Mus musculus: one gene and its partners. The protein of the gene in region 2 interacts with the protein of the main gene of each other region in a pairwise test. Links are inferred from orthologs where the notes say so. Each region holds a gene or a part of one and is shown on either strand. Other genes may lie near its edges.

The links. The genes of interacting proteins can lie anywhere in the genome.
Region 1: the proteins of Hoxa1 (region 2) and Trim42 interact in binary tests that used the Homo sapiens proteins (3 or more experiments, as listed by UniProt). The two-hybrid records come from large-scale screens. The link is inferred for Mus musculus from reciprocal best matches to the Homo sapiens genes HOXA1 and TRIM42.
Region 3: the proteins of Hoxa1 (region 2) and Fam221a interact in binary tests that used the Homo sapiens proteins (3 or more experiments, as listed by UniProt). The link is inferred for Mus musculus from reciprocal best matches to the Homo sapiens genes HOXA1 and FAM221A.

What each region holds. Positions count from the first base shown.
Region 1 is NC_000075.6:97,356,378-97,360,029, forward strand, and holds part of Trim42 (tripartite motif-containing protein 42), read right to left. Parts: intron 2,941-3,652; coding exon 2,716-2,940; intron 1-2,715.
Region 2 is NC_000072.6:52,155,608-52,159,359, forward strand, and holds the start of Hoxa1 (homeobox protein Hox-A1), read right to left. Parts: upstream 2,711-3,752; 5' UTR 2,615-2,710; coding exon 1,960-2,614; intron 1,483-1,959; coding exon 1,127-1,482; 3' UTR 1-1,126. UniProt on the Homo sapiens protein: Sequence-specific transcription factor. Regulates multiple developmental processes including brainstem, inner and outer ear, abducens nerve and cardiovascular development and morphogenesis as well as cognition and behavior.
Region 3 is NC_000072.6:49,374,168-49,377,819, reverse strand, and holds part of Fam221a (protein FAM221A), read right to left. Parts: intron 1,717-3,652; coding exon 1,526-1,716; intron 1-1,525.

The DNA.
Region 1 (3,652 bases), on a different chromosome or scaffold from region 2:
AATATAAAAGGTTTTCTCTCGCATCTTTTATAGAAGTACATAGGCTGGAAGCATGGTGGTGGGGATAAGACGTGACTATGCTACCTCTTAGAAGCATTCAAATGAAACCTTTCAGAGATACGCGCACACCAGTGCCAAAGGAAAAAAATTTCGATTTTATAGGAAAGAGCTAAAGCCATTACTTTTATGAAGCTTTATAAATGTCATTCAAACACACCATCTTATTTTCATTTGCTGGTGAAGCCTTTACTTATGCAAATCATGACAAATGTTAAGGAAGGCAGCGTTTCCTCGGAATGCTAATAGAATTGCAAAGGAGGGAGGGAGAAGTACTTCTGAAGGAAAAATCTATACTGTAGCTCTTTGAGTCAGATAAAAATGAAGCTTCCAGAAAACCTCATTAATTAGGGTTCTGCTCATTTAGATATTGTGAGGAAAAGCAAAGAGACAGGCATGCATTTCCCTCTCTTTCATAGGGGGGCAAATTAATCGCATAAGGACAGATTTAGGGGAAGGCTATTCCTTGACTGACTGTATAAAACATTCTGCCTTCAGGCATCTTATGATACTTTGTGATTATTAATTTTATTTATCAATTTACTCCTTCAGTCCTTAATTTAGACATTCGCCCATACATTCATTTGTTTGGTTACATTTTTACTCATGTTTCCGTTCAATAACCGTTAAGAGGCTGCTGTGTGCAAACTGCTTCGGTAAGCACCACAGGAGAGAGAAAGATGAATTAGGCAAGAATTTTGTTTGCAAGGAGGTCATAGTGGGAGAGAGATGAGAAGACCCAGGAGGGTAAGGTGGCGGACTGACGACACGCCTCGATCTCTCTATCTGTCCCCAATCCTCCCTCACATCTAGAGATGACAGATGATTCATTAAAAAAATTAACAGCTACTGAGTGCCCTTCGTGAGTAAGACATTTCTGCAGGATTCTAAAGGCTGAGAAGGCAGATGGAATCAGATTAAAAGCAAAATCCATAGTCGAGAGCATGGAATGGAAAACATAGCAACAGGTCTGAGGCTTCGGGGCTCTGGAGAGAGAAGGTCCCTGTGGCAACTGCCACACAGGCTGAGAGGCTGGCAGAGGAACAGCTAGCAGAGCAGCCAGGCAGGCTCTCTCATCGCACTTCCTTGGCATGGAAGTGTCCAACTTCTGTGGGGGTGGGGGTTGGGGGGTGGGGGTTTGGGGGGGATCGGGGGGTGGGGAAGCATGACCAGGAGAATAGCCCCACTCTGCAGAACTGCTACTGATAGCACAACCCCACTTCCTTCCTATTCTCCAACATTGTTAGAAGGGACAGCCAAACCCTCAAACATCTGACCAGATTGCTAAAGTGCAATTAACCCGATCCAATGGCCTTGAGTGCTCAGACCACTCAGAGCATGGGTGGAGACAACCCAAGAGTACATAAAAGCTGGGCTTAGTGGAGCAGAAACTTAGGGGCGACTCAAAATGAGGCTGATTGAGAGAGAAGTGGACAGGAGAGAAGGAGGAGAGAGGAAGAGGGAGCGAGAGGGCAAGAGGGGAAGGGAAGGGTAAAGGAGAAGGGAGAGGAGAGGAGGAGATGGGAGGGAGGAGAGAGGAAGAAGGAAGAGGAGGGGCATGGGAAGGGAAGGGGAAGAGAAAAGAGAGGAGGGAGGGAAGGAGAGGGAAGGGTGATAACTTTCTAGCTTCTGTGGACATCAGATTTGACAGATATGTTTCTTCTAGGTGTGTCTTAGAGGTCTTTCAAGGCTTCCCCCTCTCGGTGCCATATATCTCCCTTCTTCTAAACCCTAAATGAATAGTCCTGGACTTTTTTTTTTTTTTTTTTTTTTTTTTTTTTTTTTACTTTTAAAGAACCTCGAAATCTTATTTGATTGCAAAGAACACCTCCACAGTTATATAGTACGATAGCTCTTGCCTGTCCCAGTATTCTCAATGTCATTACAATGGCACTCATGAGTGTGCCGTCACTGGGAATTCAGATAAGCATCAGCTCTCCATCACAACAACCATAGTTTGTTCCTTTGCTTCATGGAGCCAACCTGACCTGCTCCGTGTCTTTTTTTTTTTTTTTTTAACTACCAGAGAAACCAAAAGTAGTTTTAGTATAAATATGTTTTAAATATTACATGGGATATTCTTGTACTACAAGCTTCAATTGTCCTCTGTGAGAAATGCTGATTTAATTGGCTGCTGTGCATCTTTGCTAGATTTCACACCTTGTCGTCTTCACAGGGAGCATTGTTCCTTTGGAATTCCCCCACTGCAATTATTTCTTACTCTTCTCATACAATGACTGCGAGTCCCTGACTGTGGTGGAAGGAGGGGTTATGCTTGGTCATACTCTGAACTTCTGTATCCTAATGCAAAGTTTTGAGTTCAGCAGAACCTATGATCCCTGGACCCAGAGATGAGAGACACTGTCATTGGCTGAGAGTTAACCAGCTTTCTGGGCTTAGAGGCAGAATTCTCGGCGGTCTCTGCTGATCTAGGAAGCCTCGTTAAGCCAAATCCTGATTCTATGAAGGCATTCCCATCTGATAAAGCTGGTAAAGGTTCTTGACAAGCCTGAGGCCCTCAGATCGAACCTCTAACATCTGTCTGTGTACTATGGCATGCATGTGTGAGTACATGTGTGGGCATGTGTGCATATGTGGGATTCTCCAGTAAAATTAATAGGAAAAACGTTTAGCCTAAGAAGTCAATGTACACAGTACCTTGCAGATGTCACTCCACTGCCCGGGACCATTATCATTGATGGCTCTAACCTTGAACAAATACTCAGTGTTGGGGGTCAGGTTGTGTAGCTCCAGGTTCTGCTGCAGGATGTCGCGAATTTGTCCACAGAGCTCTGTGCGCACATTATTAGGAGGGGTGGTAACGAGCTCATAGAATTCCATCTCAAAGGAGTCCACGTCTTCTGTTGGGCACGTCCAGTAAACCTAGGAGAAGTGGGGGTATGAGCATGGCACCAACACACACTGCTCTGTCCTTCCCCTAGGATTTGTGCGGTAGCCCGTCTGTGGGCTGTGCTTAAGCTGACCCATTCTTCTACGGCTGCTGAGAGCTGTAGAATTTGTAGACGATTGTAGATTTTGCACACTCAAAATGCCATGGAGTCTATGTGGAGGTCAGAGGACAACTTGCTGGCATCTGTTTTCTTTTCCTACTATGTGGATCCTTGGAATAGGACCCAAGTTGTTAGGTTTGGTGGTAAGTGCCACCATGTTGATGACCCTGAACTTTAAAAAAAAATTGTATTTTAAAAGCATATTTCTACTGCCCTTATTATATTTTTTTTGCTAAAGTCAAATGCCATAAGGCACAGTTAATGTATAATTTCACGTGTACTAGCTTTTATAAATGAAATCACATAGCATAATGAAGTTATTCTGATTTGATCATTCTTTCTGATGATCAAAACAAGAAGAACATTTATGGTAACATGCTTTGGAAATACAGAAGTATAAGGGAAGAAAATAAACATCTCCCCTAATCCACACATTGATTCCTGTAAGTCTTTCTCCTGCCGGGGGAGATGCAAGCACACTCATGCAGGGATTGGGATTGCAAGGCTCTGCTTTATTCTCTTAACTTACAGTTCATCTGTCTTATACAGTCAAAAAAACTGCCCATAGAGGCCAGCAAGATGGC
Region 2 (3,752 bases):
TTTATTACAGACATCTTAAGACCCGTAAACTCTGCTCTGGACCACATCACTCCAGGATCTCAGAGCTGTTCATGATTGTACAGTAAATGGAGACTATCATAGGCTCACAAAGAATAACTGATAGAACTCAGTGTGATATTTCAGGGACATCAGAACATTGTGCGACATGCAGAAGACTAGTCACGAATCACACAAAATATACATTCATTGTGCCATCCATCACATTAACAATTAGCTGGAAATACACTGGATCCAGCCATGATACAAGACAGTGTGGAAGGAAAGGGTGACTGAAAGAATGAATACCTTTGGGTTACAAATGATCCAGCATGATTTTTAAATGCAGGGTGGCCAGAGAAGCAGGAAGAATTGGTTAGAGTTTGGGAAGACCTGGCACAGGCAAAGTGCTTGGCAGGCCTTCTTAACTCTGAAAGAACCAATTGAGGCCAACTTCTGAGGCATCTGACTCTGTTTGAATGAAAGAGGTTTTCTTCTTTCGCCCATAATCACACATGAACTGTACCAGTTTTGAGAATTTGTCCACCCTGTTTGATTTAGTGACCTACATATTTCTATAAAATGTGTATAAAGATAAATCTCTGACGGGAAAGCATTTACAACCAGCAAACTCACACACATGAAACCAGCTAAGTTAGGGGGTGAATTAATTGTGTAAACACAGTGCATCTCTTCTTCATGAGTCTTTGGACACTCTCTCTCCTCTATGTCCTACTTAAGGGCTAGGTGGAGAAGAACAATACATAGATAAAAGGAGAGATGCCTCCTTCCTGCAAATGTCTGATGGCAAAGGGAACTAACTGTTCTCCAGCCGACATCTAAAAGGAATCATAGGTTGTGGGGAGAAAAAAATCTCACAACAGTGAAGGAAAGGATGTTGGGAGCCATCAGCAATTGATGTGGACACCCGATGTGGATGAAGGAGTTAACTTCCAACCAAGGCTCCAGAATTCTCTGGAAATACCTTATCTTGGCCAGGAGCTCCCCAGATGGGACGAGAAAGGAAGAGAGAGTCTGTAAAGAAAGGAAGATAAGCTAAGAATGTGCTTTGGGTAAGAAATCCCAGCCCAGGGAGAAGCCTGGGCTGCAGAGTTGGGCTGGAGTAGCCTCAGTGGGAGGTAGTCAGAGTGTCTGAGGTAGACGATGCCGGAGAAGGGGCACTGGGCGAGGGGCTAGATTTCTCAGATGATTCTTCCGTTTTCTCATCGCTGCCAGGAGGAGTGGCAGGGGAGATGGGCAGGAGCCCCTCCTTCTCACGCTTCTTCTGCTTCATGCGGCGATTCTGGAACCAGATCTTCACCTGGGTCTCATTGAGCTGTAGGGACGCGGCAATCTCCACCCTGCGCGCTCGTGTAAGGTACTTGTTGAAGTGGAACTCCTTCTCCAGCTCTGTGAGCTGCTTGGTGGTGAAATTGGTGCGCACTGCGTTGGGTTGACCCACGTAGCCGTACTCTCCAACTTTCCCTAGGGTAGGGGAGGAAGAGAGAAAAGATTAAAAAAAAAATCTTAAACCTTTATCCAGATTGCCCCAAGCTTGAGGCAATATTCGGTTAACTACTCAGCGAGCACAAACCCTATCGGGAAGCGCCAGTGACGATGTGTAAGCAGTGTTAACCTGAAGTCAACCATTAGTGTGATCAGGCTCGTGATTAATGGAGCCTTGTAGATATTAACAGGACATCACCATCACCACCATCACCACCATCACCACCTCCCACTCCCCGCACACTATCTAACTATAGACCATTTAAACCTCAGCCCCTGTGAAACGCTTTTGCCTCTGCACACCTGGGCACCCTACACCACTCACTACAACTCTAGATGACATTAGACATAAACAAGAACCAATCTTTTAAAAATCATTCATTTTCCTAGGAAACTAGGTGTGCCAGCCCCTTTCAAAAATCGAACAGCATTTGTCTGTCAGCCGGCAGGACTTACCTGTTTTGGGAGGGTTTCTTTTAACTTTCATCCAGTCAAAGGTCTGCGCTGGAGAAGACGTCTCTGAAGCAGGGGAACGACAGGCTTCTTGGTGGCTGGCGTGGAGAGGGGATAAGGAGTTATTATACGTGGCCAGGGCCAGAGTCTGCTGCTCTTGTCCATATGAGTGGTGAATGTACTGGGGCGAGCCCACTGTGCCCCCAGCATAACCCTGGTGGTGGTGGTGATGCTGGACCATGGGAGTCGAGAGGTTTCCAGAGTAAACAGCGGGAGCGCACGGGGGGTACCCACCACTTACGTCTGCTTCCTGATTTAATCCATAGGGGCCATAAGGCGCACTGAAGTTCTGCGCGCCATAGCTTGGACCACAACTCGAGTGGGAATAAGAAATCCCAAGGTTTCCAGAAGTCTGGTAAGTAGCCGTCTGGGGGTGGTGATGGTGGTGGTGGTGGTGGTGGTGGTGGGGCGAGCTGATCTGCACCCCCCTGCCCACTAGGAAGCGGTCGTCGCCGCCGCAGCTGTTGGCACTGACCGCGCAGGATTGGAAAGTTGTAATCCCATGGTCAGAGGGGTAAGCTCGCGCCGAGCAGGTCCCAGAGTCGCCACTGCCAAGGATGGGGTATTCCAGAAAGGAGTTCATTCTTGCATTGTCCATCTGTCACTGAGTGATTGGATCCTGCGAAGCCCTGGGTGACCGTGCCAACTTTCTCACTTCCTCCATAGGACCAGAGAAGAAAAATGATATGAATGTACAGTGCGCAAGAGGCGGGGCGGGCAGGCGGAGGGCTCGAGGGGAGGACACGTGACTCTACCAGCCAATGGCTGAGCCGCCTGCGAAAGTTTACCGGCTGCGGCCGTGATGGATCACCGTTTCAGTGGCATTTAAATCCCCGGCGCTCCTCAGTGTAGGTGACGCGCGCTCGCCCCCCCAGGCAGCCCGGGCCGCGGCGGTAGCAGCGGCCGCTCCCGGAGCTGACTTGGAGCACTGGGACCAAAGGGAGTCGAGACTGCCTTCTGCGCGCGCCCGGCTTTGCGCGCCTCCGCCACCAGATGTGGGGGGATGGGAGGCCCCCTCCGCGGCCCCTTCCCCACCCAGCCCAGAAAGCTGAACTGGCAAGAGGTGAGAGGGGATGAGGCCTCCTGGCTCTCTTGTGGCGGGCATCTTGTGGGCCGAAAATCTCTGCGTGGTCGCAAGGACCCTGGCGGAGCTGGGAGCACGCGGGGTGGGAAGGGTGGGAATCCAACAGACACCACGCCCTCAGCTCGGGGCGGCCGCCACTACCCAACCCCTGCAAGAGACCTGAGCCCGGAATCCCGGCGCCTAGGGCGAGGTTGCGTCACTGGCTCGCCAGCCTCGGAATGTAGAGGGACGTGCGCAGAGGATTGACTGGGAGGAACCATGGTGAATGTGCTGGGGACCAAAGCAAGAAAAGAAACTTCTGTCCTCATCCAAAGGGTCTTAGAGCCCTCTTCCCTGATTCCTGCCGGCCAATAGCATGGCAATGGGAGCTTCTGTAATTCGACCCCAGGGTCCCGGGATTCGGGGGTGGGGGTGGGGGTGGGGGGGGCTACGAACCCAGCTCTCTGGGAAAGGCCGGGTGTCCACTCTCTTCTCTGCCCTCTCTCCTTCTCTGTCGCTTTGCTCTTGGTAGCCCTGCAAAATCGGGGCAACTCTGCTACTGGAGTTTAAGGAGTAGAAGGCAAAGGAGATTGTTGACGCCAGCAGACGTGGCTGACTGGCGTGAGGGCCGAGCCTGAGCTGCAGGCCATCTGCCAACTCTTAGAGACCCAGG
Region 3 (3,652 bases), about 2.8 Mb from region 2:
ATATAATGTAAAATCTTTACCTGCTCACACTACTTATACCTGTGGATGGTTACCAAAGCACCTAAGTTTTATACAACTAATTCCATGCTTGTCGGATGAATCAGTCACTCTGCTACTGTCAGTAAACTGTTTCCCAGGTTGAGTTCTCTTTAGCCAGACTGCTTGCAGTAAGAAATGCTTCAGATCTGTTCACTGACCTGGAACTACTACATGTAGAATTTACTGTCTGAGCACCCACAGTCAGAAAATCTGAAATGTTTGTCAGGTTGTTGCTTTTTTTTTTTTTAAATTATAAAATCACTTTTTTAAAAGTCTATAACGTGAGTTCCAGGACAGCCAGGGCTATACAGAGAAACCCTGTCTTGAAAAACCAAAAAAAAAAAAAAAAAAAAAAAAAAAAAAAAATTAAAAGTCTATAACGAAGCTGGGCGGTGGTGGCCACGCCTTTAATCCCAGCACTCGGGAGGCAGAGGCAGGCAGATTTCTGAGTTTGAGGCCAGCCTGGTCTACAAAGTGAGTTCCAGGACAGCCAGGGCTATACAGAGAAACCCTGTCTCGAAAAAATCAACCAAAAAATAAAAAGTCTGTAAAGAATTCATTTAAGACTGGGGGTGTAGCTCAGTGGCCTTGCCTAGTATTCATGAGATCTTTGGATCAATGCCCACCCAATATCAACTGCCACAGCAAAAAAAGGGACCAGATTAATAAAATTCTCATTAAAAAACATTTTTATTATTTTTATAGATTTATTTTATGTTTGTGTGTATGCGTGATTGTCTAAATGTATGAATGTGTACAATGTCTGTCTACAAATGGTTGAAAGGCATCATGTAGGTGCTAGAACTGAACCTAGGTCCTCCATAAGAATAATAATTATTATTTACTGCTTTACTCCACCCCATTACTGAAAACTTCACCAGAGCTGGAGAGATGTGTCAGTGGTTAAGAGCACTTACTGCTCTTCTATAGAGAACCCAGCACCCACAGGGCAGTTCACAGCCATCTATAAGTCTAGTTCCAGGTATCCTTTTCCTGGCCTTCACATGTACCAAGAGCACATGCGGTACAAGATACACATGTAGACAAGATACCCATAGGCATAAAATTAAATTAAAATAAATTTAGAAAACAACAAAAAACAACTTTTGAGCCAGGCAGTGGTGGCTCATGTCTTTAATTCCAGCGACTCAGGAGGCAGGGGGCAGATGGATCTCTGTGAGTTCGAGGCCAGCCTGGTTTACAGAGCTAGTTCCAGGACAGCCAGGCAACACAAAGAAACCCTGTCTCCAAAAATAAAAATGAAATAATAATAATAATAATCAGGTCTTGTCTAGTAATTCTTTAAAATCTATCCCTGTTACTTATAATGACTGAACTTCAAACATTCCAAGAACTGAGTCTCCACGCATTGAATTTTACTTTGTAGCTAAATATTGACTTTGTAACTAAATGAACTGTCAAATCCAATAAGTATTTAATGAAGAACTTAGAGCACTCTGCAACTTCGCATAAGAATGGAACTTACAGGCATTGCATGTGAAGCCAAGAGCGGCACTGTGCTGATCAGCAAAGTGCTTGCACCTGCAGCGAATAGGCTGGGTACCATTCAGAGGGACATAGTGGTAAGCCTTGCACCGGCAACCACTCACTCGGCACGGCAGGGCAATGGGACGCTGCTGTGGGATCGTTTCAAAGTCAGTTTTGTGCTGTTTATACCTTTAGAAAATAGAAACACAAACACATTTGGATGTTGTCAAACATTACAATTTGGTGTCTATTAGATGCATACGTAATTATTTTGATTCTGTTTTTATCTCTTGTTATCTATTTATATTAATATGGTAAGTAAACCCCTACATGGACACTTCTAACAGCTTTAGTCAGGAGCCTTCACGTTTTCAGATTTTAATTTTTGATTATTTAAAAAGTTTCACAACTGTATGAAGAAATATAAATCCCTTAAAATCCTTGCCATTGCAGTTCTTTAGTCTGGGATGCATATCCTCAGTAGAAGAGAATGTTCCTAATTTTATAGGGACTGTGCTGGAAATCAAACCTAAGACATCATGTTTGTTCCACTACTAAAATATAACCAGCCACACAAAACAGCTCTTTATAGCAGGTTTCTACTGAGTCGGGTGCAGTGGTATACACGTACGACCTCAGCACTCAGAAAGCAGAGGCAGGAGAATCATGAGTTTGAAGCCAGCCTGGGCTATTCAGCAAAACCCTGTCAAAATATTAAGGTGCGAGGGAAGTGGCAAGTCAGGGAAGGGGTCTGCCGCCAAATCCAATGACCTTATTTTGAAACCTAAAATCTACATGGTGGGAGGAGTGAACCACTCCCCTTAAGTGGTCCTGTGCACATCCACACTGTGGCAGAGCAGGCCTGTGTCACCTATCTCTCTATCTCATACACACGCACTATAAAATCATATAAAATTATACAGCTTAGTGATAGATCACTTGCCTACTGTGTATAAGACAGTGAGTACCCTAGCACACCAAGAAAGCTAAAAGGGCCTGTGAGATGTGCCAGTGGATAAAGGCACTTGCTGCCGAGCCTAATGCCCTGAGTTTAATCCCTGGATCCACTGACCCCCATGCATGCACATACACATAAGTAAAGAAATAATGAATGAACAGATAAATAAATGCAAGATTTTTACAAAGAATGGTCTTCATTAAAGTGCATCACTTAAATTTATTTTTATCCTTTGCTATCTAAACCTAAAATAAGTTTAATATAACTTTAATGTAATTTACTTATTTCAAGAAACTCTAAAACTTTCATCCTTTAACCCTAGAATTCATTTTGGAAAATACACTCTTAAAAAATAATTCTACATATATATAGATTAGGGTTTGACTTTAAGGTGGTGTTATCAATAGTAAATGCACTAGCAGAATGCATAAATCCATTTCTAGAGAGCCATCTTCACATTTTTTTAAGCAACAAAGCCCTCTGTTTAGATAAAAGCCTTTACCAAATCACAATACTATATATGTGATAATTTAGAAGTTGAGTCGGTTAGGCCCGGGAAGGACAGGAATTGGAATCCCCATTTGTGTAACCTGCCTTTCTGCCTGGCACATGCCTGAGTCTCGCTCATGGCTTCGAGAACAACAGTGAACACCACTGGACTAGCTGGAACACAGAGCAATTATAAAACCTGCCTTCAGATTACTAATGGCTATGCACATACACATTTTCTGTGACTCAATCATGAAAAAAACAGTGCTTATAATTTATACATGCACAGAATATGAAACTAAATAAACAAGGCAAAGAGGAAATTACACAGATAAAATGAAAAGTACGGACAGGCTCTGGGTGGTCAGCGTCCGGCTACCATTCTGTATACTCCCCATTTTTTATAAACAGAAAGACACACATTGGATAGGAATTTTATTAAGTGATGAATACTACAGAGTAATGTCTTCATTGCAGTTGGGTTGAATCTTGAGGATCATATTCAGGCTGTACAAATTCCACACAGAAACTGACATTAAATGTTCACAAGCACAGATTATAAGACTACCACAGGTTTGCCCGTGCCCTACAGTTTTGACAGATATAAACATGTAGCCATCACCCTCCACTCCTCCCTGGTGTCTTTAGTCAGGGTTTCTAGGTAAGCTGAGAGGCAAT